Linked DNA regions of Mytilus edulis. The protein of the gene in region 1 interacts with the protein of each later gene in a biochemical or structural test. Links are inferred from orthologs where the notes say so. Each region holds a gene or a part of one and is shown on either strand. Other genes may lie near its edges.

Region 1 (11,188 bases):
GGTTGCTGTCTCATTGACATATATTCTACTTTAAAATCTTCCATATTACAACTACTATTATTTCTATCCATACATTGAAACATGATAAAAAAACAATCATACAAAATAAATCTAGTAGAGAGTATACATGAATATCATTTTTCCAAAAGAAAGCAGATGACTTCTTTGAAATTCCTCTTGATAACTCAGAATTGCTCTATATCGAAACAAAAACAGAGGCATCTTGTACACATCATGGTGAGTGTTTTATGTAAAATGAAGAACTTGAAAGTCTGAGAACCAGTTCTAACAGACAAATAGGCTAAAAAATTATAATAGTTTCTTTTATCTAATCTCTTGTGATCTAATAACTTGTCTTTTACTGCTGAGAGATGTCTCTCATAAATAAAGAATAATTCTGAGGACTATTTCAATCATTAATTTTCAACTAATAATAAAATGTAGCACTTCACATATTTTAAATAAATGTTTTAATAAATATATCAATGTGGATACATTGTGTATAAATGGTTTAGAGGATAGAGTGCCTAAAGTTTTAGGTGCACTTCAAAACAAAATACACTCTTTACAAATAGCCTCAATGGTTCGTTGTTAATACGCTAAATCTTCTTTTGGCATTGAGAATCACAACAAGAAATCTCCAAAGAATCTCATCAGCCCAGTCATACTCTCTTGATCATGGCCATCAACCCAACAATACTTTCTTGAGCTTGGCTCTAGCTGTATCCTCGTCATCTGTGTCCGTGTCACTGTTCGTTACATATGGCGAGGTTCGACACTGTGGTGAGCACAAATACTGAAGTAACGGCAGTCTGTACTTTCCACAGAAGTCAACAAATTTCACATTTTCCACTCGTGAAGCAAAATATACACCTAAAGTAAAAAGATAACAATATATAATATTAAAACTTACAAGTAAATGATAATATATGTAGTTCAAGTATCAAATAATTTATATGAAAAAATTAAGTAAACACATTTCCTTGTATTAACATGTATATATATATACATGTATATATATGTTTCACATGATCTATTAAGGTTTAACTGTGGTTAGTTGCTCCCTAGAAATAATTTTAAGACTCAAAATGATTTAAATGTTGTCATACATGTATTATGGTATGGCGTCTTGTTTCTCGTCGTTGAATAATGTACATGTGTGTTGACCAATAGATGTTCATTTTGATTGTTGTGTTGCTGTTTCCTTGATATTCATCCAATATTTCTCAAATTAATTAAACGCATCACGATAATTTCTGACTTTACAGTATTATAAACAAATCCTTAAATAAAATTTTGTTGTATAAATTCTTTACCTTTGCATTCAGGATTAACACATCTCCGACAGGAATCAAGATAATTGAGTAGGTTTTTTGGCAGATCTTCCTGGTCATATTTTACTTTTTCAATCTTAACAACTCTAGCAGAAAGTTCTAGCAGAGAAGGCACTTCATAGGTTAAATCTTGAACGAATTTAACAACTAATGGATTGTTTCTTAGACTTAATTCTATTAAATTAAGTGCTACGATTTCTGAAGGAAGGGTAGATAATTTGTTGTTGTGAAGACTCAAGGACTTCAAACGATGAAGGTTGACTAAGGTAGGTGGAAGACTTTGGAGTTGGTTATCACACAGGACTAGTGATGTCAGGTTATATAGTTGTCCTATCTCGGCTGGAATGTCTGTAAGTCTGTTTCCACCCATATAAAGGATTTCTAATCTGAAAAATAAATAAATTTGAATACCAGACAATACACTGGTTGTTCAAACATTTTTCTTTCAGTTATGCAAGGCATAATTGAAAACTTTCATGTCAGAATTATACAAAATACAATGCATATTTAAACAAGAATGTGTCCCAAGTACACGGATGCCCCATCCGCACTATCATTTTCTATGTTCTGTGGACTGAAAATGGGGTAAAATCTCTAACTTGGCATTAAAATTAGAAAGATAATATTATAGGGAACATGTTTACTAAGTTTCAAGTTGATTAGACTTCATCAAAAACTACCTCAACCAAAATCTTTAACCTGTAGTGGGACAGACAGAGGCACAGACCAGAAAACATAATGCCCATAAATGGGGCATAAATATAAATTGATGTAGACGTGCTTTAATAGTTTAAGTGCATACATATATTTTGTTGTGAGGGTTGCTTTTAAAATTACAATTCACAGCACTTCTTTCCTAGTTGATAATTACACAGAATGAGACTTCTTATATTTTTTTTAACCATGTTACATTGTAACTTGCAATCCACCAATTACCATTTTTGTATGGTACTTTGTATAAAACTGTCATAGACTATCATGACTATTGTAAAGTGGTCCATTTTTAAAATTCAAAATTTGTAAGGCCAAATTCCTTGTTCTCATTAAGATTTACAGTTGTATTTTCCTGTGCCTAAATCTGATGTTCTTAAAAGATTTCAAATTTACATACTTGTAAGAGTTAGACATGTAAGAAGATTTTTCCTGATAATTTTTAAACCATGAAAATTATGCAAAAATAATTCCCTTAAAAAAAATACCTAATAATAGTATACTATTACTGTAGCTACATGTAAATGAACATGTACAACTTAATAATCTATACATACATGACATACATGCATGACATAAGCAACAAGATACATGTAAGTGTAACTAATCATGCATGACAATCATGACAATGGAAAAATGTGTTAGGGTGATCAACTGCATGTATTTATCAATCTTTATAATTTGTGTAGTCTTACAAAATTTATCTGTTCCACTTTTTCTTTTGATCATGGGAGTCATGTCATAATTATATATATATAATGTGTCTGTTGTCTTTGGGTTATTGGTTTTTTATTATTGAACTTTGAGTATCTGCTTACATGTAAGTCCCCTTTAACATGTTTAACTTAATAAGTAAGTTGTAATTTAGGATTTGTTTATTGAACATTAAATTTTTGAATTTGATTGTTTTCTTGACATGCCTGAGCCCCTGTTGTGGTCATTGAGAAAAAAAACTTAAAAATTTGTTTAGAAAGAATGAAAAATGTTATATAAGTTAAAAAAACTGGAAAAAATGGAAAGTTTTCTCTTCCACCAACATGACCAAGTTTAATTTGTTATGAGATTACACTTGTATGTTGCTTTAAGTACAGTTAGGTGGTAATTACAAAAGATATACATGTACATGTAATACAAGGTTATCTCATGATGTATAGATATAATACTCAATTGCACGTGTATCTTTACATGTACTCCTAATACAAGGTTATCTCATTTATCTCTGATAATATATATATACTCAATTGCATGTGTATCCTAGCTTACATACAGTGTATACACTCATTCACACAATATATTTTCAGCATAGAATTAAATTTCTACTTAACATGCTAAATACGATAAAGGGTGTATATCAATATCATTTTCTGAACCAGTCAGTCCAAAGATGCATTAAAATAGTATCAGCTGTGCCTGTTTATCAGCTTTTTATAGCAAAGTCAGATGAAAGTTTCAATATACATGTTCTGTAATTTTTATTCGATTTAACCCTAAATCAAGGCATTGCTATTTCATTTTTTGTATTTTCTTCTCACTGTTTAATGACTGCCCCGGCCCATTGTCAAAAATTAAGATTCCCTTAATACATTTCTAAAATGATAACTAATTGTTTTGTCATGTTATTTCATATATTTACCATGTTTACCATGTTAGGAACTCAAACAAGCCCCCAAATGCATGAAATGAGGCCATTATGAGGGACGAATCTGGTAAATGATAATCAATGTAAATAGTCTAATTTGGTCATGTTGGTATGTCACATTCGTTAATCAGATGCTCCGCAGGGCACAGCTTTATACGACCGCAGAGGTTGAACCCTGAACAGTTGGGGCAAGTATGGACACAACATTCAAGCTGGATACAGCTCTGAATTTGGATTGTGATTAAATAGTTGACACAGCATAGGTTTCTGACACAGAATAAATGTGGGTGGTCTAATGAACTTAAATTTTTTAATTTTTTTTGCTTTTGAGCAATTCACTATGCTCCTCTTAAAAAAAAAATATTTGAAGAAATTTTCTTTTTAATTTCTGAAATCTGAAATGAAAAATTGACCCCCCCCCCCCCAATTTTTTTTCACCTCCCCCTTTCCCTTACTCCAAAAATGATCTCAATTCAAATTTGCTAATGGAGTTTGCAACAATACATGTAACTACTCATTTAAATGCATCATAAAGTATTAAAATATAAAATGTCATACAGTCATGGTTAAAATTAATATTAATTAATAATAACTTATATAAAAATAAATGGGGAATGTGTCCAAAGGGACACAGATGATGCCCCAGCTAGCATATAATGTTATAAAGGGACATAACTCAAGAACTGTAAAAGTGAAGCTGCCAAAAATTGAACTTATTTAAAACTGAGTTTAGAGGTACATGTAATAAGCATTATATACACATTTCATTAAATTTAGTTGAGACAAACTTATGTTAAGAGAACAGAAACGAAAAAAATCTTCAATTTTTCCATTTGTAAAGGGGCATAACCCTAGAATGGTAATCAAAGTGCTTGTAATCACTGAATGGTAAAGATTACTTTAATATATCAGTTGGTAGTAAAAGTGAATATTGCATTGTATATTGTATAATATAGCATTGATTTAATTTGATTCAACTATTATTCTGGACAAAGAAAGATAAATCCAATTTTCAAAGAAGATTTCATAAAGCATTGGTTTTAGGTAATTCAACAATCATTCTGGACAAAGAAAGATAACTCCAATTTATTGTCTTGAAACTACAAAAATGCTTGTTTTTGGCACTTTATTCCTAGACTGTTTGCCCTGTAACCCTTTAAATATATCCCAACCTTCTACTTACAGTATTAAACATTGTGGTATAATTTCAGAACAATTGAAATACTTCTACTTGTACACAACTTATTGTCCTGACACTAGATAAATGCTTGTTTTGGGCCCCTAATTCCTAAACCTTTGGGACCATAACCCCCAAAATCAATTCCAAACTTCCTTTAGTGGTTATAAACATTACTCATTTATGTTAAAATTTTATTGATTTCTATTTACGTATACTAAAGTTATTATCCGGAAACCATCCGTCTTCGGACGACGCCGAGGACGTGATACCAATATACGACCGCAAAAATTTTTGCGGTCGTATAAAAAGGATCGGATAGTCATATTACAATGAGGGGTCAATTATTCCTCATTTGAGGGGTTGTTCCCAATCTGTTTACCATGTTTACCCCAGGTCTGCTTCATTCATGATCCACATCGACACTTTCAATTACAGAATATTGTACTTTAAACATCAATCTTTAAAACTCAACGTGTTAAAAAAAGCACACAAAGTACTATAATGACTATAAAGTATACTCGTTAATTTGTTTTTACCTAGACATATGCCTAATCAACGATGTAATTGATGAGATGGCATTGCCACCTAAGTATAATGCTTTCAATCGAGGTAGTTCAGTAAACTGTGGAGGTAACTCTGTAAATGAATTGGCAGAAAAGTTCAGCACCTCTAGAGATCGTAGTTTACTAAAATCCTTTGGTATAGTTTTACATTCTAAGTTGTTGTTCTTGGCTATCAAAGTTCTTAATTGTTTTAAATAAACCACAGCATCATCTAGTTTGTGACAGTTGTTGTTACTTATATCCAAAGTGATCAGGTTAGCAAACACATTTATAGACTTAGGTAACACTTCTATATTGTTATGGTGTAGGCATAATGCTCTGATCGACTTCGAACGATCGAATAAATATTCTGGTATGGCTGTTAGGTCACCATATGACAAATCCTCAGCTCCATCACTTAAATATTCATTCTCAGAACAAGAAGTTGTTTCAGACAAATATTCAGCCATTTAATCAATTATGATCTTTAGTCATGAAATATATTCCATATTCTGTATCTCTCTTTACTGTAAGTGGCAACGCACATGACACGAAAGTGACGAGTGATGTTTGTTCTAAATTGTGTCACCTGGTACAGGCTATTATTCAATGGTTCAACATTTAGGAAAATAACAGAGGTGAAGGTCGTTATAAGCTTTGTCCATTTCAAGACCGATTCCTCCTTTGAGTTTATAGATTATTGTTTAAAAAAATAAAGACTTATTTGAAATTAGGTTATTACTCGAATTTTGAAAGAAACACATTTAGGGGAAAATAAATGAAATATTTTTTTACGATAACGTAAGGGATATTTATTTTTTACAAGTACATCAGGGGGAAAAGGCGTGATGGAGGGTGATGAGAGTAAACATTCGAAAGAAGCTATTGAAGAGACCAGTTTAACCAATACAAAGAAAGAAATCAAACAGAATATACAAACCGATAAGCAGGATGAAGAATTAGATTCATTGTTAGACAGTATGAGTCATCGATTAACAGAAATTATACCAATACACAAGATATTTTTATTGAGCTAATCAAGACTGGTGCAAGAGGGTGGATATATTTGTGTACCCCACATGATTATTAACGATAACATTTTATTTAATATAGAGTTAACACTACATAGTAAATTCCATTTATAGCTAACATCACTCTAAATATTTAAAACAATAATCAGGAATGATGATAATAGTTTAAGGCTCGGAGATCATTCTGTATACCTTATCGCTATTTGTCGCCATTACTGGATATCACACATGTTCCCATGGAATTTTGACATCATAAAACAAAATATCTGACGCCACAATGGAAAAGTGATTGTTGTATTCGTCAAAAGTTCAAGCGGCCGGGATAAGCGATAAGGTGTATTAACCTTGCTAATTGTATCATGTGCATGAGGGTGGTAATAGGGGTCCTTTCATGACGATTAATGGTAAAAATTCTTGTCAGTAATGTTTGGCGCAAGATGATAAAATTTAAAACACTTTCCTTTAGACAGTAAAAAAATAACGGCTGATTTTGTCAAATCACGCTAATTTTTGTCCTAAAATGATGGTAAAGATAATTATTCGAAACCTTTTTCAAATCACGATAAGAAGATTTTAACAAATCACTGAAATTTTAACCAATTTGACTCGAACGGTAGCTTAAAATAACAGTTTAACGTCTGACGGTAAAGGGCATTCCTACCCTTGTATATATTATAGTATATTGAAAAGAAGGTGTTTAATGATCTCTATTGCTTGGTTATGAAGACCACGCCTAACCTCCATTAAGGGACCAGTAATTTTAATGAACAGAATAATTATTATTACCTTAATCAAAAGATTAAACTTGTTTAACACAACAAAAAATGGTTATCACAGTTATTAAATTTACTAATCAACAGTAATTGATTTGATGTCATTCCATTCCTATACCAAACTCAAGTTGTTTTTTATAGATGAGTTAAACAGGTAGACCCAAGGTAAAAGGTTGTTAACAAAGTCATTGAACATTTATTATGGGTTCTTACTGTGATGTATGAAATTGACAAAAAAGTGCACGATTCCGAAAATGGTTTTTGCCAATATGTGTTCTGTCCTTGGTTGTTCCAGGTACAAATCAATAGTTCTGTTCCAATATCATTTGTTCTGTGAAACAGGTTTATCCATTCAAATAACTTATTTGTACAAAATAATTATGACAACATTACATTTAAAATATAGATAATTACATTGTATGACATTATTATAATTGAAATTGTTTTGTAAAAGATAACATTATATACAGTTATAGTATAGTTATTATTTTTTCTTTTGAAGAATTCTTTTATTCATAAATAGGATTTTGCATTGTTTTCATACATGTCAAAGAATTTTCAACCTTTTCATTTGAAGTTGAATTCAATTATTACAACAACAAATATACAGTAATGCTAATTTTCTTCAACATATATTAATACAATGTACATGTATAAGAATACATGTATGTTATAGCCTACATTTTGAATTTTTGTTATCTACAAGTTTGCATTCTGTTGAAATATATTTTTTGTATAATAATTAATTTTATTTATAAATAGTGTATCCTATTCATTTTTAAATCAATCTTTAATTTTTTTTTAGGTGCTTTGAAAGATTTTGATGAAGTAAAGCCGAAAACAGCAACAAAAGAGGATCAGAGTAGTGCCAAGAATAATGATTCGGTAAGCTAAAAAACAGCTTTTTGTTATGTTATATCATTTGTATATATGTACCGGTAAAGTAAATGTACATGATATGCATGTTTTCTTTAGACTTGCTGACATCTCTTTCATGTCTATGCTGCAAATTTATGTCTTATCATAATCGACATTGTATGCCCACCATCGTATGCATCATTGAATGCACACCATCAATATTTGTGCATTGTATGCCCACCATCAATATCTGTACATTGTATGCCCACCATCAATATCTACACTGTATACCCACCATCAATATCTGTACATTGTATGCCCACCATCAATATCTACACTGTATACCCACCATCAATATCTGTACATTGTATGCCCACCATCAATATCTGTACATTGTATGCCCACCATCAATATCTACACTGTATACCCACAATCAATATCTGTGCATTGAATGCCAGCCATCAATATCTGTACATTGTATGCCCACCATCAATATCTGTACATTGTATGCCCACCATCAATATCTACATTTTATGCCCACCATCAATATCTGTACATTGTATGCCAACCATCAATATCTGTACATTGTATGCCCACCATCAATATCTGTACATTGTATGCCCACCATCAATATCTATACATTGTATGCCCACCATCAATATCTGTACATTGTATGCCAACCATCATTCAATATCTGTACATTGTATGCCCACCATCAATATCTGTACATTGAATGCCAGCCATCAATATCTATACATTGTATGCCCACCATCAATATCTATTCATTGTATGCCCATCAATATCTATTCATTGTATGCCCACCATTAATATCTGTACATTGTATGTCCAACAACAATACCTTTACATAATATGTCAAAGTCAATGAATTTGAAAGTGTACAGACATACAATACTTGCCTGTATTTCATGAATAATATACATGTAGGTCAAATGATCATGATGATAAATACACACACTATTTTGTTTTTTAGAAATCAAAAGTAAAAAGTTATGGGCTCAATAAATTGATATCTTTATACCATTTTGAAATAATCATGTGTTTCAGGCATCACAGAAATCAGAAGCATCAGGGGATCCTTTGTCGGACATGTTTGCTGATGAGTTCTCAGACGATATGGCAAAACAATTTGAAGAGGCCATGAAAAGTATGGTTGGTGAAGATCCTGAATTAGTTTCACAAATAGAAAAACTAGCAGCTGCTGCTGGCAGTGCAGGTATTGATTTATTATGTAAATTATAGTGACAAGTCTATTATTTAGACAACAAGGAGGGTGGGAAGGTGATAATGAAAAGACTGTATATGTTTTATACATATTTTAATGATTTGAGTTTTCCAATATCATATTAAGATGCTAACAAATTAAAAAAAAAAAAAAATAATCGAATTCAAGTTTAGTTTTGAATGTTTTCATTTTATCCCCCTGTTGACCCCTATAATAGTTATTATAACATTGGACCATATTTAATGTTTGTTGATTTTACTAAATTATATTTTAAGAAAAGGTATAAATGCATTATTTACAATGTTAAAATTATTAATTTTGTTAGGTGATTCACAAGAAGCACAGCAAGAATTTGCTAAAAATTTGGCACAAACTATGTCTAGTCTTGACGAGAATTCAGAAGAATTACAGGTATGTCGAAAATACTCTGATTAATTATAGACTATCTATAGTTCTGAAAATGAGAGGGAATTACTCAGCTACAATCAAAGAAAGATAAATTCCTCCAGTTGAAATACCAAAGATAGTCTGTTTATTGTCTATTTATTGCTATTTTCTTAGGCAATGACCTTGGCTTATGAAGTTATCATGGTCTCACTCTAATTGACTTCTTAAGTAGCATGAGAATAAAAGTGATAACACCGAAAAATCATAGGTAAAATGAAGAAAATATGGGAAAATGGTTTGTCCTATTGCTTTCTGTAAAAATCAGTAGCTGGCCAAATATTCCTCTTCTTCACAATATTTAAGGTCTACCTTTTTTGTCAATTATTAATGTTATCAATAAAAGCAATCTATACTAAAATGCAATATCTGCCTTCTACTGTCATTGACTGTCTAAATCAGCCTATAACTTAAAAAAGACAAAAAAACACAGATGTCTTAACTCTGTTCTTTCTAGTTTGTGAGAATTTAATTTTGTTGAACTTTATTAAATCTTTAGCCCAAGCTACACTGTTCTATTTTTTTTTATGATAAATTAAGTTTAGGAAGAAGATACTTTTGTGTACAACATACATTACAGAAGTGAAAGGGGTTTTATTGGTTTATACTCGTTAGAACTAAAATAATAAAGATTTTTGAAAAAAATGAGGTGTGTTGGAGGTTTTTATTTCTTTATTTTCATTTTCCTCTGAACTATTTCGTCATGACTAGAGTGAGGTAATTTAAAATTATAAGTATATCTATTGCAGGGTCAAATGTCCGAAGATGATTTGATGAAAGCCTTCACTAGTATGGGTATGGAAGATGGACAGGAAGGTTTTATGCCAATGATGCAGGGGATGATGAAGTCATTGTTATCTAAAGAAATCTTATATCCATCATTAAAAGAATTATCAAAAAAGGTATCAATCTTAAAACCAACTAATTTTCATGACTTTTGCCAATTAAAAACTAAAACACCAAAAAAATGTATAAAAAATGCATAATACATGTACAAATTAAAAAAAATGCAAAAATAGTTTGTGCATCAATTGCTAGTAAGGACTAAATGCAAAATGGATTATTCTAGAAAATAAGTTGGTTAACAGTAGTGTTTGCATTTTCATATGGTACAGAAGGTATAAAATTATTCTTTTTTAGCTAAAGTAAATACACTTTTTTATAAATTGTGCAAGATGTGTTCAATTAGGGTATCTCATGTAAATTCTATATATGTAACATTGGAAACATTCTGTTTAGTTTGAAAACAAATATAATTTTGTAAAATTATGAAAAAAACCAAGATATTGAATGATACCAAATCGAAACATTAAAAAACCCCAAAGGACATCTAAATGTGGCAATTAATCTGAACAGCTACTGAAACAGGTGGGGGCATTCAATCATCACCCACATACATCAAGTTGAAATAATGAATTTGACAAAAATGGTTG
Region 2 (11,577 bases), on another chromosome or scaffold:
GATACACAAAAACATCTATCTTTGAAATTTGTCACAAATGTCCACTTGGATTCCTAATACGAAAAGCGGCATGTTTTTTTTTAATATCGACGTTCCTCCTTTTTTTCTACATCTTTTAAGGAAATATAACGTAGAGTTAAACTGTTGTCCGGTTTGACCGGATGTCCTGGTGATTGATAAAATATGACAAACCACTTAACTGCTATGTAGTAGTTTAGTCCACGACAATAATAAAGTAAGGCTAAAATACAAGGATAAAGTCAACAAGACACGATTCAACCGGGAACTACCCCAATTCCCATTGTATTCTTTTGACAAAAGTCGTAGACGTCTTTTCTGTTAAAGGGGTAATTAAGGTTGAGGGATTTTAACATAATCACATGCGTGTAGCATATGTGTGTGTGTGTGTGGGGGGGGGGGGGGGGGGGGGGGGGGGGGGTCATATGTACTAAACATGGAAAACTAACTGTGTTAGTACGTTTACAAGACCATTCAGCTACCCTTTTCGTACATAAATGCTATATTGGCCCTCACTCTTAAGCTATAAGTTTCAAACGCTTTGTTTAAATTTTCAGTCCTAATACTATTCATCGTTAACCAATGTCTCGTAAGGTGAAGATCTTACGCTCTCTGTACACTAAAGAAGCATTGAAACACCTCTCTGGGAGGTCGGTGGCTTTTAAAAAAAAATAATTTCTCATATGTCCATTTCTCATAATATGTCAATAACTCTCTCATTTTTTCAAATGCAGACCGAATAATTTTCCAAAAAGCCTACAGTACCTAGTATATTAATTATGTAAAAGTACAACATGAGAACGAACTAAACAAAATCAGTTAAAAAGGCGGCCTTTTAAAGCTGACTATGCGGTATGGGCTTTGCTCAATGTTGAAGGCCGTACGGTGACCTGTTGTTGTTATTCTGATCTCTTGTGGAGAGTTGTCTCATTGGCAATCATACCACACTCCTTTTTTATATTTATACTCATCAGATGGATACAAATACAAATACTACAACAACAAAAAGACAGTAAGTACAGATCTGAGAGCATTCTCAGTTACTGACAGCTAGTTCAAAGCCACTAACAACAAATTAAAAGAAAATCATGCATCTTAAACTATGTCTGTTTTAAATGCCTATGACAAAGACTCAACATATCTGTCTGATGTTTTTGAATGTTGTTTTGAAAGTTTGAAATCTTCCTTTATTTTGTGGATTTCTATTTTTACCATATGTATATTTTTCTTGGCATGGTTTCAAAGCAAGATGAAGTTGTGAAACTCAATTAACTCATCCAGCTTTGTCATGAGCTTGCACCAGCTCTAGACAGAGAAGGTATGGTTATCCTTGATTTTTCTAAGGTCTTTGATCGTGTCCCACAGCCACACATATGCCTGCTAAACAAACTACAGCATTGTATGGACAATTACACAATTACACAAGTGTATCCTATCTAAACGTACCCAACAAGTCATCGGTGATGGAGAATCATCGGAGAAAGTTCCTGTGGTTAATGGAGTCCCCCATGGAATTGTAGATGTAGATAGTAAAATGTGTTTTTACACCGTATTTTAATCTATGCATATTGACCATTTATTATATTATCGACAGTTTTTTTTTTATTATTTTGTACTTGTGCTGTCAAATCATACAATATTGTATTATAGAACAAGAACAAGTCGAAGGACATACTTTATTTTAAGGGACATACCGGTATAATGAAGTTACAAAATGAATTTCATCTTCAACACAGCCAGAGAAGTATTTGCAAATTCTTAAAATTTCATTTGGTGGAATATTTGAAAAATCGACCAAATTCAATTTCAAGTAATGAGCAGGTGTAAGCGCTTCTAAAATCGAAGTTCATAACCAAAGAGATTCTCAGACATAATTTTCACAGCCAAAACTTTGTTTAGATATTAAAAAATGATCACTTCCCAAAATAAACATTTTTTAGGCTAACATAACCGTAAATATATGTCATTACCCTTCTTCTTCCAGGTAAGGAACCGAATTCAATATTTGAATGTATGAGGTACCGCGAAAACTATACGCAATGTCGACAACACAGAAAGTTTTCTCTTGGCTATTTACAGGTTAAAACGTTCTCTCTATATATGTTACAGTGAATTTGTATAATCAGGGATTATGTAGAATCCCTGATTTTTCAGGGATTATATAGAATCACTAAAAACATTAGTGATTATATAGATTCCCTGAAAATGACCAGTGATTTTAGATAATCACTGATAATTTTAATTAGTATTCTACAAATTCCCTAATATGATTTCAGGGATTCTCAATAATCAAAAGCTTCAAAGATGATATCTCAAACCAATTACACTAGTGGTTCCAGCAAGGATTTATATAGTCTTACTATACAAATCCTTGGTTCCAGGAAAGGGAGATCCCAAAAAACTAATGGTCAATATTCACGAAAAGGCTGAAGAAGGATATCGCCTTGCTATATAGCATGGAATCCTGCTCGGATCCTTAATACAAGAAATCAGTTTGAGGTTGCTGATTACCCTTCATTGGTACAATATGTACCTTCAGATGTTTGTGCTGAAAACACTTTTTCTCTGAGAAGTGCCGTAAAATATCATTTGATTTGGGGGACAAGGTTTTTTTTTAATGTTGATATCGTAGTAAAAACAGATGTGAATTTGATAGATATGCCTGAAGAGAATCAGGGCAAATGTGTAATAGTCGATGCCATTCAAATTTAGTTTGTAAATAAAATGTTTAATATTAAAATATTATACATAACATTAACATTTATTAAAACAACTGTACGCATAAAAATAGTTTTAATGACAGTTTCATTTTAAATTATTTCATATTCTCAACCTAAAAACAATTGCTAAAACAATACGATAAAAAGAATAATCATTATGCAATTTAATATTTTCATACTGACTTCATCAACCTGCCCGTGTGGGCTCGCTTGATATTATTATTACTAATAAAGTCGTCAATTATTCCATATATATTTTGCTCATCATTCAATTATATATATATATATTGTGCTTATCATTTGATTATTTTGTGTATAACATTTCAATATTTTTGTGTCTTTCATATTAATAAATTATGCCTAACGTTTAACAATAGTAAGGTTATTATTATGATATATTAAGGTAAACTTTTAAGATATTTCAATATGTTATATATTTTAGTATCATTGTAATGCAGGAAAAGTGGGAAGAATCGCTGTTCTGTCAGGTTGTCTCCCCTTTCCCTCCACAACGTTAAGTATATTAAAATCGAGGGACTGCCATCTTTCACTTGGGGACTATCCTCGCTCGCTTATACGGGTATTCTAACTTCTTTCGGAGAATCTGGGGAATACTAGCTCGCTCATATTCAGGTCTATGTTATGCCTTCTTCTGGCGTGTCCCTCATCTCGGACACTTGTACTTTCGAGGCCTGGCGCTGGTGAATAAAATACAATGATGTTTCAGCAATTATTTATTCCAAACAGTTATCTACATTTAAGTGTGATATTGTGATCTGTGATTTAAATAGTAAACTTAGTTTTAACTTATATATATTAATGAAAATCTTTTATAAATTTAAGTTAAGTTTTAAATATCAAAGTTATTAAATCAGAAGATAAATTCTTACTTTAAAATTCATTTGAAAATGGTTTATACTTTAACAATTTACATACCTGGTGAATAAAATACAATGATGTTTCAATTATTTATTCCAAACAGTTATCTACATTTAAGTGTGATATTGTGATGTTGGGAGGTTGCGGTCTTCCCTTTTTAACCCCAACATCACGTGCTGATTGGAATTATACTGACCGACTTTAGAAACGCAACACTAGATTAATTTTGTGTTATTTTTTAATGAATGTGTCACCGTCAAAAGCGATGACTGCCTGTTACAAACGCCAAAATGATTGTCAGAAAGGTCAACAAATTCTGTCTGACATGTTTTGGGTACTGATTTACACCTTCTGATTTTGCATTTGTTCAACCCATTTATTGGTTTTGGCTGTTATGCGGTTGGAACTTGATGGCTTTAAAGGTTTTCTTCAGTCGATTCTTTGGCAATTCAGTTGATGGGAAACATTTATGGCATGAATCTGTACTCAATGTCACTCGGCAATTTGAATAGCATTTGACGTTGCGGCCGTAAACATGTCTGGCAAATGACGTTGCGAAATCAACTTCGGTTGATGTTTCATTGTCACTACTCGTTGGTCTGTTCATTGATGGCCAGCAACAAATCTTGTCTACTTGTATCGTTGTCGGAAGGACAGTAAGAGGAGTTTCTGAAGTCATACAGAATGGTTGCAGCACGTTTATGTTTTCATGTTTGCAGTTCAAGAACCACAGTTAAGTCAGATTTTCATTTTTTGTAATGAGAAAGAAGTATGATAAGCACGAAAAGAAGTAATAAGAGAATCAAACAAGATTTGGTAAAAAAATCAACAAAATGAGTGTTGCGTTTCTAAAGTCGTTCAGTATATTTTATTCACCTATGAAATTTTAGCGTCAATTTTGAATTTTCTAAAGGTACGTTTTATTGGTCAACTGTTCTCTTTTTATGTTATAGATTTATATGATTGACATATGTTGTATTTAGTTACGTAAAAGCAATTAAAGGATTATCAAAATTATCAAAATCTTTGCTTACTTTACAGAATTATTAATTGGACAATAGAAACACTTTAGGTTTATTTTCCTACGGCAAATTACAAACATTTTTATTCTTTTAAAAGATGACAGTTTATTTAACTTATTTCTCAACGTCAGATTAATAGCTATGATCAAAAGAACTCTAGAAATGAGATTAACTATATTATTTACAAAAAGACGAAACTATTTATAACTTAACCTTACGTCACCTACTTTGTCTTAGAGCTTAAGCAATGCAATAAAATTCCATTTTATTTATTTATTAGTTTATTTCTCTAAGTTTACTTTATTTTATTTTCCTTTTCCAACATACAATTTTCCATCATTATATCATTTCAGTTATTCTGTATAATCCCTGACGTTTTTTCTAGTGATTATACATAATCCCTGAAAGTTTTAGTGATTATATATAATCCCTAAACTAACCAGTGATTATTCATAATCCCTGAAAATTTTAAGGATTCTACATAACCCCTGATTATACAAATTCACTGTAACATATATACACAATTAAAATTATGTACAGGATATTACTGTGTTATTTAAGCAGAGCATGCCTTTAGGGCAGCTCTGATTCCTTCAACTGTGTCATCTGATGTCGCTGATGTTGGCAGTTGGTTCAAGTGTCTCTGATGGTCCTAGGCCTGAGAAAGGATTGGTCCAAGGAGTATGTTGTAGCCCTTTCTTGAAAGAAGCGGTTTTTACCTCTGGTCCGGCTATCGTTTGGCGTCAGATATTGGTGCCGATCTATGTCTATTAGATCATGTGGAATTTTAAACAGCATACATATTCTATTTTGTTTCCTGCGGTCTTCAAAGCTTAATTTTCCATTTTAAAGATGTTACCGTTTTTGTTACACAGCCAGGTGTGCGGTCTGTGTAGTTGTTGTTTACGAATCTGGCTGCTCTTTCTGTACTTGTTCGATTGTTTTTACTTTAGCCTGTTTTGTAGGGTCTCATACCGTGCAAGCATATTCAACTGAAGGTCTTACTATTGTTGAATATGTTACTGCTTTAATCGGTTTAGTGCAATCTTTTATGTTACGTCGTACCTAACCCATACCTAAAACTAATACACATCTAACTCTAAAATCTAACACTAACCTAGAACAAGGAATTGTATATTTACACAATTCCTTGCCAGAACCACAGGAAATTTGTTTTCCCTATATACCTCTATATAACAAGGTATATAGGCTACTCACAGAGTTACTTTCAAGAGGTGTGCCTGACACAAAGGTTTTATATATATACTAATATGCGAAAACTGTTGTTTCTTATTTGTGTTTGTAACTATGTGTTGTTTATTATATTTGTAAAAGAATATTATATTACAATGATATTATATTATGCTCCTTGTGAGCCCATTTTATTGAAATAAAGCATCTTCTTCTTTTTCTTCTATAGGGAAAACAATTTCTGAGACAAGTGCCTGTGCCTAGAACATTCCCTAACCAGCTATCCTAACCATAACCAAGATTGAAGAATGAACCCTAACTCTTAATTATAGGGACTCTTAAAGTAAAATAAATTAATTTGAACGTATTTGTCTGAATCGAAAAAAAAATTGGCATAATATATATATATTTTCTGGTATTTAGATCGTTTTATTTTCCGGATTTGTTTCACTTCATATCCGTCATTGACTTATTTTTACATTTCACAGTCCCAAAATTATCATCTCAACCACCCGTTTCAACCCATGGGGGAATGGCAGCACCTCCTAAACCCTGGGAAATTGCAGGTGTAAATCAACAAAATGCTGGAAGTATTCCTTTAAATAATATGTCAGGGTAAGTCCATGTCTAACTGTTATTTCAAACATTTGTTGTACAATCTTGCATCCTACATTTTGACCGAAAAACAACTCTTATCTATCAATCGAGTCACAAACATTTTCGTATATCATCTTCTTCTTCTATACATTTAACATGTTAAATATTCTGACATTGTGATGTTTATGATCCCATTATTGTTTTTCCTTTAAAACTTAAAAATTACAATTTAGAATTACTCAGCCTCCGCCCTTCTGTTGAGTGTTGTGCAAGACCAAGGATTTGTTTAGGCCAGAAATTAGGGTTGTAATGTAGATACCTTCATAATGAATAATGGTAAAAATTCTTGCCAAATGAAGTTAACGGTAATTTTTGGTTCATGATGATAAAATGTACACTTTCTTTTAGACGATAAAAAAATCTACTGATTTTAACGCATCACGTTTCCAAAAATGCTGGTAAAATAAACCTCTGACGAATCAGGTTAATATTTTAATCAATTCAACCCCTGACGGTAAAGGGAATAACTACCCTCTTGTATAGACTATATACAATCTGTGGGTTGTGGAAGATTCCATTCTCATTAATTTGTTACTTTGATGATATATTCCTAGGCCTTCAGCAACAAGGTAGGAACTTCAAGTTTATCTTGTGAATCCCCTGGTTCATTTGATAATTCACACACAGGGATAAACCTATTTGAGATAGTTGTACCTTTTAGGGGTTTGTAAACAACCAATTGTGCAATAAACTGAATAATTATTAAAAAAAAAAGGAACTTCAATTTTGTTCTTGGACATGAACATGTAGGTTAACCTATGTAGGCACAGCGACAGAAGAGGCAGGAATAATTAACGAGTTCTGGGTTTAATCTAGTCCAAATATATTTATGATGTCTTAATTTAGAGCCTAACAGCTTTAAGTCAAATATAATAGCCTTTCTAGACATTTATTGGTATTATACCTCAAAACATATAAAATGTAACCTGCCTTATCCAACACCTGAGTATTCCAACATCCTGCTTTAATCGACACATTTTCATGGTCCCATAATATGCCTATCATTGTAGAAAAAACCTGAGTATTCCGACACCCTGCTTAATCAGACATTATTTTCTGGTCCCTCAGTGTGTCGGATAACACAGGTTGTACTGTACATTATATCCCAATTTTAATGATGGAATTTATAAGAATGTTTGCACCATGATCATCATTATGATAAAATATTAAAAAAAAAATTTTTTATCACTGCATAAAGATCGATACCTGATTTTGGATATAATAACCATAACTAGTAATAGTGCCCATTTATGAGGACCATCCCCAACCTGTGAAACTTTTTAGTTTTGGCCTAACGATTGTCCTGTCAAATATGAAAAATGCTAAAATGTCTCCATTTTTGGAAGGGTTACTGCAGATTTGGTACCAAGGGTTATAATAACATTTTATTTATAATGAATACATGTATAAGAAAAGAAAATTAAACTAAATAAATGATTTTAAGAGTAAGTAAACTTGACCAGACTGACATTGAATTTACCCTTACTATTGTTTTGACCAACATGAAATTACAATCAACTTTTTTATACGACCGAAAATTTTTGCAGACGTATATTGGTATCACGTCATAGTCGTCAGCGTCGTTCGAAAACGAATGGTTTCCGGTTAATAACTAGTATACGCTAATAGAAATCAGTAAAATTTTAACACAATGTTTATAACCACAAAAGGTAGCTTGGGATTGATTTTGGGGGTTATGGTCCCTAAGGTTAAGGAATTAGGGACCCAAAGGGGCCTAAAACAAGCATTTATCTATTGTCAGTACAAACAGTTGTGTATAAGTATTTCAATTGTTCTGAAATTGTACCACAATGTGAAATTGTACCACAATGTTTAATACCATACATAGAAGGTTGGGATATATTTTGTGGGTTATGGGGAAAACAGTCGTAAGAAAAAACAAGCATTTTTTTAGTTTCAAGACTATAAATTGGAGTTGTCTTTCTTTGTCCAGAATGGTTGTTGAATCACCTAAAACTAAAATGTAATGCTTTATGAAATCTTCTTTGAAAATTGGAGTTATCTTTCTTTGTTCAGAATAGTAGTTGCTATATACAATATACAATGCATTATTCACTTTACTACCAACTGATAAATTAAAGCAGTGATTACAAGCACTTTGATTACCATTCTAGGGTTATGCCCCTTTACAAATGGAAAAATTGAAGAATTATTTAGTTTCTGTTCTCTTAACTTAAGTTTGTCTCAACTAAATTTAATAAAATGGGTATCTAATGCTTATTACCTCTAAACTCAGTTTAAGTTCAATTTTTGGCAGTTTCACTTTTACAGTTCTTGAGTTATTTCCCTTTATAACATTACAAACATGTATATGCTAGCAGGGGCATCATCTGTGTCCATTTGGACACATTCCCCATTTATTTTTTTAAGAAGTTACTATTGATTAATATTAAAGTCATATGAAACCTCAAATTAAAAAAAAATATGCATATGTTTTTTAAAACTAAATGGATAGTTTTCATTATACAACTTATGTACATATACTTTTTTCTGAGGAAAATTCTTTAATTTGTCCACATTTAGAAGAAGTTTACATATTTGTAATTGCTTGCTGCCAGGGCAGGAAGCAATTCGCCGACATATTTTCCGTATGCATAGTGACCTAAGCTTGACCCTCCTCGTAAAAATCCGGTGATAGCAATACGCATGAATCCGTCATTAAAATTAACAATTACCTGATTGTATATGTTAAACACGTGCTAAATACCCATGCTTTTTGTTGATTATTTACTATAAGGTGACAATCGGTAAACTTCGGCTTCAAAACACGGCATTTAATGAGTAGCCATATTTGTTAAATCATAACAGACAGATTATACGATATATTTGCGTAAAAAATGATAAATTCGTGCACAGAGAACTAAGTTTATGATTTATACATGCATTGGTTCAAGAATTGGATGAACATTATTTTTCACCAGTCACTCGTTTCTTATGACTTTAATTTTAACCATGACTGAATGACATTTTATATTTTGATATTTTATGATGTATTTAAATGAGTAGTTATTGTTGTTGCAAACTCCATTAGAAATTTGAATGGAAAGGGGGAGGTGACAAAAAATTTGGGGGGGGGGGGGTCAATTTGTCTCAGTTCAGATTTCAGAAATTAAAAAGAAAATTTCTTCAAATTTTTTGTTGTTGAGAGGATTAATATTCAACAGCATAGTGAATTGCTCAAAAGCACCAAAAAAAATTAAGTTCATTAGCCCACATTCATTCTGTGTCAGAAACCTATGCTGTGTCAACTATTTAATCACAATCCAAATTCAGAGCTGTATCCAGCTTCAATGTTGTGTCCATACTAGCCCCAACCGTTCAGAGTTCGACCTCTGAGGTCGCATAAAGCTGCGCCCTGCAGAGCATATGGTTAGAAATGAAAGGATTGACTTCCAAATTTTTGTACCAAGGAAGATTATAACATTTTAAGCTCACCTGGCCTAAAAGGACAAGTAAGCTTTTCCAATCACTTGGCATCCATCGTCCTCTGTTAACTTTTATAAAAAAAAATCTCCTCTGAAACTCAAAGACCAAATTTGATCAAACTTGCAAGTTTTGCCTATTACATGTATTTTGAAATCTGCTATTATAAAAGAAAATCTGACATTGCAAAACTACTCAAAATTTGAAGCTCTATATATACATTGTAGCTACCTATTGTTATTTTACATCAAAAATGTCAGACTGTTCTTATAGGAGTAATTGCCCTTAAATGATGAATTTTACCATTTTCAAAATACAACATCACATGCATTTGTTTTAATTAAAACATGTATTAATTTAACAGATATTTCTTTTACTCAAGTAAATTTGATAAAGAATGATGGATTTCTCTTAGAATTTCAAAGGTCCCAGTGAATAAACTACACAGAACAATAGTTATTGTATTTATTGAATGGTACAATATAACTAACCAAAGTTTAAATAGATTGAACAATAGGAGATGAAAATAGGAGAAGTGATCTGTGTTTTATTAAGATTGTTATATATTTTTGTACTTGCAACTGCTTTTTGTTAAGCAGAAAGATGGCACAGTATTTTTTTTACATGATATCATTGGATTACTGTTAATCATTTCTTACAATACTAGGTACAAGAAAATATTAATTCAAAAGTTCTATTTTTTACACTCCAATCTCACCAAATTTATACTTTCATTTTGTATGTTAATATATATATTTTATTTCGTTTGAAATTGGTGTTTTCCCGTTTGCTATTAGTGGTAATTATTTATAGATGTGAACTAGTATAACTAGTTCTGCAACAGTATGTACTATTTATAGAGTTTGATGTGGGGTGTATAATGCACGAGGAAAGTTTTGGCGGTTTCTACGGGTGGGATTTAATGGTACTATATAAAGTTTGGCATTTAAATGTAATATTATCGAAGGTGCTTGCAGTTGCGTTGAATTGAAGTTGGTCACATTGGTAAATTGACAGTTGCTGCTATGTTTATTACATACATACAGGCGTTGGAGGTATTAACCGAGGAAAAAGAAAAGATGCAAATGAGAAACAATATTATATGTCATGGATTTATATGTCTGTGGTTTGAAACGAAGAAATATGTAGAAGAAAGTAAAATAAAATATTGTATCGCAAGAGAAAATGATATGTTACTGTGAGCAACTAATCCTATATCTGTGTTTGTTTTGTTTATAGCCTATTGAATTTAAGAGATAAAATACTTTATATTCGGATGAGCAGGGCGAGGGAGAATTTAAATGTATTTACGTGGGTGTTTGATATGCTTTTGATATAGTTGAATCAGAAACAGGACAACTTAATAAAAAATAGAAATACCAGCATATCACAATACGACAGAAATATTGAGCTTATATATTGCTGATGACCTTTTATAACCATTTACATGAGGGTACCTATCACTTTGTTGTTTATGTATGTTTATATGTAAATATTGATAGCAGCCTTTTTCAGTCAATTGAATTTTTTTCTTTTCTTCACTACTAGTAAAGACAGAACCATATTATAATTTCTGTGCAGCATTGTAGTGATTGTACACTGTGTTACTTTGTATAAATTTATTGAGAATGTCTAGAGTTTATCTT
Region 3 (11,845 bases), on another chromosome or scaffold:
GCAGTTCGAAAATTTTTAAAATATAACATGATTTAGTTTATAATGCATTTTGTCTAAATTGCAAATGCCTGGGTCTGTTTATCTTCACAAGCCAAGGGTTAAAATCCAGTCCCCTTCTCCCCATTCATCATGTTCATGGTGGATTAAGATAGAATTTCAGAGACACAATATAAAAAAGAAGATGTGGTATGATTTCGAATGAGACAACTGTCCACAAGAGACCAAAATGACACAGACATTAACAACTATAGGTCACTGTAAGGCCTTCAACAATGAGCAAAGCCCATACCGCATAGTCAGCTATAAAAGGCCCTGATAAGACAATGTAAAACAATTCAAATGATGTATTGATTTCTATCATTGTTGTCTATTGGTCGCAGTTCAGTCAGTTGTAACCAGCTGTATCATGCAAATCAAAAGGCATCCTTAAGATGACCATGTAAAAATGAGAAAATATAAATAAGTAATTGCCACATGTAAAGAATAATGGTATTTGGTGACCATTTTAATGTTCTTGCTGCCATTGGTAAAGAATGATGATGTTGGAATGTGCATGACTTTTATCTTCTGATATATGGCGCAGCATATAATCAACAAGAATGTGTCCATAGTACACCGATGCCCCACTCGCACTATCATTTTACATGTTCAGTGGACCGTGAAATTGGGATCAATACTTTAATTTGGCATTAAAATTAGAAAGATCATATCATAGAGAACATGTGTACTAAGTTTCAAGTTGATTGGACTTCAACTTCATCAAAAACTACCTTGACCAAAAACTTTAACCTGAAGAGGGACGAATGGACAAACGAAGGGATGGACGAAAAGAGGCACAGACCAGAAAGCATAATGCCCCTCTACTTTCGCAGTTGGGGCATAAAAATGTTGGCTTTATCTGCCAAGGGTATAGAGAAGGGGACTAATCATAACCCTTGGCTAGCAAAGATGGGGACTTTACGTTTGAATGTAGAAGGTATTGTAAGTCCCATGAGGGCAAATCATTTGTAATCAGTGTTCTAGCTACAAAGTTTGAACAGGGCACAGCGCCTGCTGTTCTTTATTGATGCCCTTGCCTTTTTTCTGTCGTTTCCCCTACAACATGCTGTTTTTATGGCAAAAATCTCGGCATTTTTGCCTTTTAAATACTGGCAAATTCGTAATTCTTTCATGAACAGGAAGTTCAGCTAGCTGTGTCCAATTAAGTGACCCATTAAGTGCATGGCTTCACTTAACAGCTTTGGTGTCAAATACATTGTTAACAAGAAGTAATTGTAACAGGATGCTGTTATGAAGTCTCCCAAACAAAGCTCCCAAAAAACACCATTCATATGGTCCCATGTTCATTTGATTTGATTTTTTATCCCATACAAGAATATATATGGCTTACGGGTGGAGATCTCCACCATTTACAAGTATTCAAACAGGAGGGGGTGGTGGTGACCCTCAGGGACTTTACCTACATTACATTTGATTTGTTTTATTGTCCCATACCGTTTACAAGTTTTCAAACAAGAGGGGGTGGGGTGAGCCCCTAGGGACTTCCCTTTTATTTCATTTCATTTGTTTTATTGTCCCCTACAAGAATATATATGGTTTAGGGTGGGGATCTGGACCGTATACAAGATTATAGCACATTCTCAAATTGAACAGGGTGGGGATGACCCCTGGGGACTTCCCTTTAATTTCTTTTGATTTCTTTTGATTTGTTTTATTGTACCATTCAAGAATATACATGTATATGGTTTAGGGGTGGGGATATGGACCGTTTACAAGATAAAATAAAATTGAGAATGGAAATGGGGAATGTGTCAAAGAGACAACAACCCGACCAAATAAAAAACAACAGCAAAGGGTCACCAACAGGTCTCATGAGGGCAAAAGCATATTCTCAAATTGAACGGGGTGGGGATGACCCCCAAGGGACTCCCTCTATATTTCATGTGATTGGTTTTATTGTCCTTTAATCATTTCTGAAGACTGCATGTATCTATCACTTACAGTTTTCAAGTTATATTCATTTGAAAATTTTGGAAAATAAAATCCAATAGGGTTCTATAGTAAACCCCTCCCTCCTTTCTACCCCCCAAAATACCCCTTAATAGATCCCAATGAACAAACGAAAGATTGAAGGCTCACCTAGACATATTAGTCTACCATTCTATGAAATCCTAAGTCAATCTGACAAGTGATTTGGGAGAAACGCTGCGGACAAGTTCATTTTTTAAAGTGGCGGAAGAGGAAGAAGAGGAGGAAGAAGAAGAAGAATAAAAATAATAAGAACTGAGCAAAAACAATAAGTCTCCAAACTTTGTTTGGGAGACTTAATTAAACCAAGTACATTTACCTTAGTTTTAGGTCATACATAATTTGTATAGTTCAAAAACGTTTGACAAAAAAATTGTTACTTCCCCTTTTTTATCACCTTTCACAATATTCTTCTCAAATTCATGAAGTTTATATTCTTTTTCGAAATTATTTTTTAATTTATAACCAATTAAGCATGCTAAGTGCTAATGCATATCAGAACATTATTTTTAAATATGTTTTAAACCTTTAAACATTTATGTAATAAATCATTTTAAAAACAATTTTTTAAATCTTTACTTCCATTAAATGATTTATCAAGTGCATTGAAGTAATAATTTGAATACAAATATTATAAAGAGATTTTACTTTTGAAACCTGCAGTGAACACTGATTCAGCCAATTTCAGGGTAAGAAACAGTCAACTTAAATCAGGTGTAAATGAAAGTGTACATATAATGATCATATCATACAGAGAGGATTTTGTCTAAAGTATTGAATATTTTTACTCTAATTTAATTGAAACTTGATTATACCAAAGTGTCTGAGTTATATGAGGCTTAATTATTTGCCCTTTTTCAATGACATTTATGCATAAAATTTCCCCTTTTCTGACTAGCACCCTGCCCTTTTCAAATCCTGGCTTTTCCCCCTTTTTGCCCGTAATTCCTCAACAGCCAAAGCCAATTCTTACCATCTCTTTGTGGTATAATTTCAGAGAGATCGACAATGATCCATACAACATTCCACAAGTTGTTATCTGGAAACTAGAAAAATGCTTATTTGGGCCCCTCTTTGGCTCCTAATACCTAAACTGGTGGGACTATACATTGTATAACCTCCCAAAAAATCAATCCTAACCTTCCTTTTGTAATCATAAACCTTGTGTATAATTTTCATAAATTTCTATTTACTTATAATACTTAAGTAAATCGACCTGATTCCAATATATACAAAAATGATATACGACCACACAATTTTTTTAGGTTGATTATAAATATTGACTTTTACCTCCAAAGCTAACCAAACCTTTAAACAGATTTATTTTAGAAGGGATATACATGTAGTTACAATAGAAGGGATATACCTGTAGTTGGGTCATTAAAGTTGGCATATTTTGGTATTAATATTGATTAACAAGGAAATAAACACAAATGTTCTTCTTGTATCTTTTATGATGGTACGATAATAAAACCCTATAGCTTACAGGAGGGCTCGTGCTTGATTTTCATTTGATGTAGTCCTTTGTTGATTTATGTATCATTATCATTTTTTTTAGTTTCTTTTGTATCCTATTCTGACGCAGGACTCAAGACTTTTTTTTGTAATCTGAGTTTTAATGTGTGTATTGTAGAGTGTTTGTTTATTCTAAATTGGCTAGAGGTACATGTATAGGGGAGGTTTGAGATTTCACAAAACATATCTAACCCAACACATTTTTTTGCCTCTCCCAAGTCAAGAGCCTCAGGCCTTTGCTAGTCTAGCGTGTTTTTAATTTTAGTTCATTTATATGTTTTGGGGTTAAGCATGTTATAATGTGTAATGTCCATTTTCAATGAACTAGAGGGAGTTGTTTTCATACATCTTTGCTATTTGTCCACCATTACTGGATATCACACAGGTTACCGTAAAATTTGGACATTCTTATACGAAATATTTGACGTCACAATGAACAGTGATTGTTGTATTACATCAATAGTTCAAGCGGACACATTATAATTTGTGTCAGCTGGGAAAACGATAAGGTGTATTATCAGGTCAAGACAACTGGCACAGATTTTGAAATACAGAAAAGGTGTAATTAATCATGAAGCATCTCATTTGTTTCTTTATGTAGAGTCTCTAGGCATTCGTGGTGATGGCTGTGGATTCTATGGATATTTTGACTGAAATATAAACGTTCTACTTTCTGACCTTTCAAAACATTGGACTTTGACACTGCTTTTTTCCGTGATTATTAAACATAACAGACTTAGATTTTTGAAAACGTTTGAAGGACATATATTTTATACCTGTTCTTTCGTTTCAAACCAATTTTTTTATACAAAAAGTAAGAAGCTACTGCAGCTACGGTTAAGATCGCCGACCTCTGCGGCGTGAGCTTGCTGAGCGCTGCCATATTTCACAAGATAAACTTCCGGTAATAAAGTTAAAGATAGATGTCAACTCGGACCAAAGCTAACTGGGACCAATACCTTTCGGACCAGCTTTGAGACACCCAAGGACAAGAAGAATAACTTAGCAACAAGAAGCGTCAAGAAGACTATTTATAGCGACAAGAAATTAAAATAAAATCTTATTAAAATTACTTTATTCAAAATGAATAAATTAAAAAAATATGTATTAAATGTTGTTTTTATATATATATATATATATAGGGGCAATAGTAAAGTGATAGGTCTATAGCAAGATTTTTTTTATATTGATACAAGAAATTAAACATTTGTCTTCGTGTTTTGATTGTCTTCAAACGATATTAAACTATGCATAGGCATAATCGTTTGAGGAGGCAATACACAAAATGAAATGATATGCAACTGAATATTCAGTTTGATTACGTTTTCTTCTTGTTTGATTTCATTGTATTTCACAAATTATGTCTGTATTTTCTGGGCAATGATGCACAAATAATGCATTTTGAATGCAGTCAGCCTATTATATATCAAACAAAGAAAGTGTTGAAAGAATCATAAGATGAATACATGTATATAATTGTTCTGGTTCTAAAACTCAAGTAAAAATTAATATCATAATACAACCGGATTTAAAGAACGTAATATTTGATTATCATAGATAAATACAGTTAGGTTTCAAAAATGTGTGATGATTTTTGTTGCTAACTGATATTATTCTTTTCGCTTCTTGTCGCCAAAATTCTTCTTGTCGCTAATTGATGAAACCGAGTACGAGTAGGCAATTTAGACAAATGTTTAATAAAGACTAGGCTGATCGAAAAAAATACTACTCGGACCTATAAAAAAAGTAAGTAAACAAATTCAATTCTTTAATTACACTCACACAATATATGTGTTACATAAGGACAAATTACAAGTCAAATACAATAAATGACAGAATAGATAGGTAACTAATAATAAAAGTGTACTTTCTAAAGATCATAAAACTTGTAAGATACATGCATCTTTCTAAATGAAGGTAGATAGCTTCTTGATAAATATAGCTAGATTATACAATAACTGACAGTGACACTATGACAGCATATTTTGCATTTTCAGTACAGATGGGTATATATGTTGTATCATATTTCGGTATGTATTTCCGAAGTTTAGTCAGTCAGCCAGTCAGAGTCGATTTTTTCTTCCCTCGTCGGGATTCGAACTCATGCTGCTGAGATATCGTGACACCAAATCGCCTGCAGCGCTAGACTACTCGACCCCCTTGGCTTCATAATATTAAAACTTTCGATGGCCGGGTGTTACCTTTCCTCGTCAGTTTTTATCTAGCGTCGTAATACAGTACATGATATATAAGGCATGAAGATGGAAGGGTTACAGATCAGATGAAATATCTATTGTAAAGGATCCTACATATTAATGCAAGATACAGTCACAGAAATAATTATAAGTACGTCTGAACAAGTGACAACTCTACAACAGATTTATCCATCGGATCACCAGCAGTGATGGTGATACATGGCTGTGTACATTGCGTATATACAACTCGTCTAAACATCAGTTCAACAATGTTAGATCTGTAAGTTTGCTATCGCAAATTTTTTGTTCTTCCCTCGCCGGGATTCGAACTCATGCTACTAAGATATCGTGACACCAAATCGCCTGCACTGTACCCGACGCGCTAGACCACTTGACCACATTGGCCTCACAATAATAAAGCTTTCGGTGGCCGGGTGTGACCTTTCCTCGTCAGTTTTTATCTAGCGTCGTAATACAGTACATGATATTTTAGGCATGAAGATGGAATTGTTACAGATCAGCTGAAATATCTATTGTAAAGGATCCTACAAATTAATGCAAGATACAGCCACAAAAATAATTATAATTATAAATTAAGTACGTCTGAACCAGTGACAACTCTACAACAGATTTATCAATCGGATCGCCGGCAGTGATGGTGATACAAGTTAACATGGCTGGGTATATTCTGTATATATATATATAACTCGTCTAAACATCAGCCCAACAATGTTAGATCTGTAAATTTGCTTTCGCAAATTTCTTGTTCTTCTCTCGCCAGAATTCGAACTTATGCTACTGTGATATCGTGACACCAAATCGTCTGCACTGTATCCGACGCGCTAGACCACTGGGCCACCAATCTTCAATATGAAATCAAACAGACATAGAAAAAAAATTCATTGAAAAGGTGTTCAATATATATTTACATCTAAATTTATTTTTATACCGGGTTATAAGACTGTTGACAGTCTTCGGAGGTCACCTCGATGGTTAACTAGATGGTGTCCAGACTAAAATATAAACTGCGAAATGCTGAAACATATTACCGACTACATGCATAGTTAATTATTTAATTTTTCAAGTTTATATACATAATTTGGATTTATATTTTAGTATGTTATAAATCAAATATGAAATCTTTAGTCAAATTGGTGAATTTGAATGCTTATGTCCCTTAAAGAAAAGAACTGGTAACAAAATATTGACTGGACAGCTGACTCAGTCTGGTTAATTCATACCTCAACACAAACAAAATCTTTATACTGGTGATTAAAACACAGACACTTGTCAGAGAGATTTATTTTCTGAGACGAGTTCCTGTTAATTAAAACCAGCAATATGGATTCTGCTTAAAACATAAAAAAAATGCATGCATAATAGAAATATAGCTGCGAAAACGCAGCTCTATTGTCCTTTGATTTTTTGTTTGTTTATGGTTCTCAAATATAAAAAATCATCAAAAGGACCTTAAGATCTACATTTTCGCAGCTAAATATAAATAATAATAAAGGGGAAAAGCTCTTTAGTCAATAATAGTGAATCTCTTTCTTAAGAATTTTTTTTTTAAAGTTAAGGAATTATATAAATGATTTCTGTGTCTTCGTTGTTTATAAGCCAAATTAATTGGTTTTCATCAAAAAGTTTACTAAAATTACTATTATTATTATTTGAATGATCAAAATATGGTTAAGCATGTGCATTGAATTTAGAATTGGATTTCATCTTTAACAGACAATTTACATAAATGACATTTACGATATCTTCACTTCTCAATGTTGAGGTTGTGTGAGCTTACTTCAAATTAAGTTAACAGTCTTCTTCCATTTTCATTACCACAACTTCAATATTTTTCCAATTCGATTTTTTTGTAAAACTTACAATATGTTAATAACTGGTTCCCAACTTTTAAATGTTTAAAACAAATGTTAAATTCCTCATGGTGACGAGATTTAGACTGTATGACCCATTTTTTGGCTGGTTGTAGTAAATATCCCTCTCGACCTCTGAAGTCAATTAAAGGTCATATTAATCAAGAACTGTGTGTCATACGCATGTTGCTTAGTATGGCTATATCTTCTGTCCAAGTTGGAGCAAAACATGAAAATTATCTAATTTTCCCTCCATATATCAGTTAATGTCTAAAAGTGTATGTATATGAAATTGACGCAAGATTACACTAAGTGTTAACCTCGTCTTACGCCTTGCTCTATTCTAAAAGTGTCTGATATTTGAATATTTCATTGTACACAAGAAACAGCATTATTATATAAATTATTAATTATCAAAACAGATTGTTTTAAAATTTTCAGTTGATATTATCTTCTTATTAGCTCTGTATGTTTTGCTGCATCACATGCCGACTTTGCTTCAGCATCAGAATACATATTGATCAATATTATTTATGAAATTCTTCTGTATAATGAAAGAAGTTTAATTGTGCTGTTCTTCTAGTAAACCAAGTTGTCATGGATTTTGATATTTTATAATGTCAGATTTAATTCTGATCTTTAAAACTGCTTCAATGAGTTTAGATAATGTTGGAGTAATTATAATTACAGAGTAATGTCTACGATCTTTACAGCTTCACCTTTTTTTTAAAGATGAGTTACTATCCCTGACTTATGTCAATTTGGTATATAGTAAAGTATAAATGTAATATTCCAAAGTTAGAATCGTAAACATCATTGACAGACATTATGGAACTACCTAATGAACTGAGAGCCTTATTGGTAACAATGAAGTTGGATGGAAAAGAGACGGAATCACCGGGAAATTCACCGCCAATTCTGACCAAGTATCGGTCCAGCTCACTTGCATCAAGCTAGGTCAAAGAACCAGATACTACATCTAGGAAACATGAGCCGGCCCTGTAAAGCAGGAACAAGCCACCATCTACCAGGAGACACCACGCTAACCGTTACGCCCAGTGGATGGCTAACAAAACAGCCGTTGTACCTGCTACTCAAAATCAACAAACCACCAGCGTATACCACATCACGCAAACCGAGGCAAGAGACACCGTACTTGGTCAAGTACTTACACCAACAAAGTACAAAGGGGAACCAGTTGGGGTTGTAGTCAATAAGGATATTGTCACCAGTCCTTACAACCCCAAAAAGACCTGCCATCGCCTGGTATTCTACAGATAAGATAAGATAAGATAAATTTTATTTTCCAAATTAGGTCCCCAGGGGGGCATATACACATAACATATATGATTGATACAACATACACCTCAAAAAATGAAAGAGGCAAGCGCAGTTGGATCGACTTTGATAAAGGGTTTGACATCAACGACCCAGACCTACTGCGCACACCACCACACACATCGCCCGTCAACATTGAATCGATTTCCAGACAGGATAGCCGGACATAAAACATCCACATATCATCATATTCCAAAGTTCTATAAGATAGCAAAGAAGACTTGGTACACTATATTATAAATTTCAGTTGAAAAATCTGGTACAAAAATAACTTCTTTTACTTCATTTTGAGTGATACGTTAGCGCTGAAACATAGCTGTGCAAATATCATGTATATCAATATAAATAAGTTTGGTGTATAAACTGTCTTCTGATTGGTTAAAAGTATTACTTTTATTTGCAATGTTGTCAATGTTTATGGTGACACACCCACTCTGACGTTGTGTATTCATACGCCAACATGTGTGAACGTACGTTGTTATTGGTTTTTTTTATCAAAAGTATTCCCTTCGTTGTTCTTTAATTCAAATATATCATAAACATATATCTAAGGATTTCAATTTAAAAATGAACATGCAACAAAGAAATGAAAATTATTTTCTTCTGTTTTACAAAAATATATTTATTATCCTCAGAAATCTGTTCAAATGTTGTTGGTTTTTTTTTTACAAAAGTAGTGCGAAGGAACCCAGAGCGAACATGCTTAACCATGATATGTTCCAATTCAACATGCAACTAATTTTCAGAAAGGTGGATTTCAACCGCCGGAACATCCCCTACCCCTGGATCTGCCACTGATTCGTATATATTGCTACGAAACCTAAGAACAGCTTGGCGAGCCTCACTTTTTTCTTTGTTTTTAATGCTCGTCAAACTTTCAACACTGTACGAATTGTGCAGATTTAATCTAAAATTAGTCCACGAACTTTTTTTGTTTTCTTCATTTGTCACTTTCTTGTGAAACGTCTCTTGAAAACTTCCAAAATCCAATCTGCCCGAGCAAATACCCTTCAAAATTATTGACTTTCCAATTCCTCTTTAAATCTTTATCTTTATGTGCTTGTTCGTATATTGTGAACAATTTGTGGAGAAATCCGGATGACTTTTTTTTTAGGTAGGGCGTTAACCAACGGTGTAGCATTATCTACCTGTACGCAGGTTCATTCTTTACAGTGACATATACATAAAAGACAAGACAAGAAAGGACAAGACATTATTATTCAAGTCTCACCTCTTCAGATACTCTCAAAAGAGTTTTAAAAGAGACTATCTTATTATTAATTATTATCTAAAATGTATATACATTATGTACACTTGAATTAGCAATATAAAATATATCTTCTTTTCATTGCAGAATATGGCAGTATAAAAGTACGTATAAAAATATGAATTTACCGTCATCAGACATATGCATAAAATTAACATTACATAGAGATTCTTGATAAAACAAATATAACTATTACAATGAAAGTCTTCACACACTGGACAATTCATTTATGCATGTTTTTCGTATTTAGTAAAATATCATTCATAACAAGTGTTTTAAAAACAAATTTTATTTTTAATTTAAAGACCATCAAGCAAGTCTCAATTTTCGTAAGAACAAAATAACAACCTGTATAAAGTACGTAGTTTACTACTCGTTTGACATTAAATTATGTATGCGTCTCATTTCCATTTTTATTTTATTTTAATGAAAGTGGAAAATGTGACCACTGCGTGACCGTAATTCTGTCAATTTCTTATTATATAGGATATAAAGAAAAGAAATATTTGACCACGATCGTACCAAAAAGTAAAACACTAAGATTACCGAACTCCAAGGAAAATTCAAATCTGAAAGTCCGTTTTCAAATGGCAAGATTAAAAGCACAAACACAACAAACTAATAAAAACATCTGTCATATTTCTGATGTGGAACAGGCATTTCCTTATGTAGAAAATGACGGATTAAACCTGGTTTTAAAGCTTGCCAAATTTATCTCTCGCTTGCATGACAATCACATAAAATTCCATTATATTGACAACAATGTGAGAACAAAACAAACAGGCTGTACTGTGCTAGAATTATATTTTGTTAGAAACACGATAATCATTAGGCTGTTCGATAGTCATTGAAAATAAATTATGTTTGATTTGCAGTTTCCGTGACTTTTCTATTTATCATTTGGTTTATCATTTGGTTTACCATGAAAATTATTTTTGTGATTTTATAATTACCAGATCTCATTCATTTGAATTTAACGTGTTAATAAGATGAGCCGAGTGACATCTAGCTGTAAAATAATGCGTAAGAAAACAACTTCCACAAAATATAATTTAATATTGACTTTCAATGGAAATCATACGTTGTCTATTTCTTCTTCGCTGTCAATGTATTTGAGTGACAGTTCTGTTTTCGACACACTGAGATACAGCTGTATATCTTCAGGTGCCTCCTCTATCTCCGGCATTATATCAGCTTTAAAAGTAGTTACCACATTGACAGGACTAATTGATCCTAATCGGCTGCTTTCTTCATTGATTGTGGAGGGAATACTTAATGAGGTATCAAGAATTTCTTTTTTATGAGCTTTAAGTAATTTTTTCCCGCCATTGCCATGCATGATGACAAGAGGAAGAGTATAACTTTTTCTCTCGATCATCAATGTATCTTTATCCGATTCACGTTTCTTGTCACTCCTACTTTCACGTGATCGACTTGACAAGTTCGAAGATTTAAGACTCGTGTTTGATGACCTTGAAAATCTGAAACTTCCTGTACCCGAAGACTTGAAACTTCCTGTACTTGAAATTCGTATGCGAGGTTTGACATTAGCATCTTGGTGTTTATTGTTCTGAGCAGGGGTATATCGAACGGCAAGCGAACGCTTAGTTCTATTTGACCTACATTTCAAA

Evidence for each region.
Region 2: the proteins of peroxisomal biogenesis factor 19-like (region 1) and peroxisomal membrane protein PEX13-like form a complex in vitro, tested with the Homo sapiens proteins (2 studies listed by BioGRID and IntAct, with this or other methods). The link is inferred for Mytilus edulis from reciprocal best matches to the Homo sapiens genes PEX19 and PEX13.
Region 3: the proteins of peroxisomal biogenesis factor 19-like (region 1) and ATP-binding cassette sub-family D member 3-like form a complex in vitro, tested with the Homo sapiens proteins (4 studies listed by BioGRID and IntAct, with this or other methods). The link is inferred for Mytilus edulis from reciprocal best matches to the Homo sapiens genes PEX19 and ABCD3.

What each region holds. Positions count from the first base shown.
Region 1 is NC_092348.1:72,183,598-72,194,785, reverse strand, and holds the start of peroxisomal biogenesis factor 19-like, read left to right. Parts: upstream 1-6,023; 5' UTR 6,024-6,254; coding exon 6,255-6,384; intron 6,385-8,015; coding exon 8,016-8,095; intron 8,096-9,133; coding exon 9,134-9,302; intron 9,303-9,636; coding exon 9,637-9,722; intron 9,723-10,504; coding exon 10,505-10,657; intron 10,658-11,188. Other genes in the region: leucine-rich repeat-containing protein 58-like, read right to left, coding at 686-873, 1,317-1,720, 5,401-5,876. UniProt on the Homo sapiens protein: Necessary for early peroxisomal biogenesis. Acts both as a cytosolic chaperone and as an import receptor for peroxisomal membrane proteins (PMPs).
Region 2 is NC_092344.1:115,001,567-115,013,143, reverse strand, and holds the start of peroxisomal membrane protein PEX13-like, read left to right. Parts: upstream 1-6,290; 5' UTR 6,291-6,362; coding exon 6,363-6,445; intron 6,446-11,577. UniProt on the Homo sapiens protein: Component of the PEX13-PEX14 docking complex, a translocon channel that specifically mediates the import of peroxisomal cargo proteins bound to PEX5 receptor.
Region 3 is NC_092344.1:125,849,088-125,860,932, reverse strand, and holds the start of ATP-binding cassette sub-family D member 3-like, read right to left. Parts: upstream 4,462-11,845; 5' UTR 4,427-4,461; coding exon 4,320-4,426; intron 1-4,319. Other genes in the region: QRFP-like peptide receptor, read right to left, coding at 11,290-11,845. UniProt on the Homo sapiens protein: Broad substrate specificity ATP-dependent transporter of the ATP-binding cassette (ABC) family that catalyzes the transport of long-chain fatty acids (LCFA)-CoA, dicarboxylic acids-CoA, long-branched-chain fatty acids-CoA and bile acids from the cytosol to the peroxisome lumen for beta-oxydation.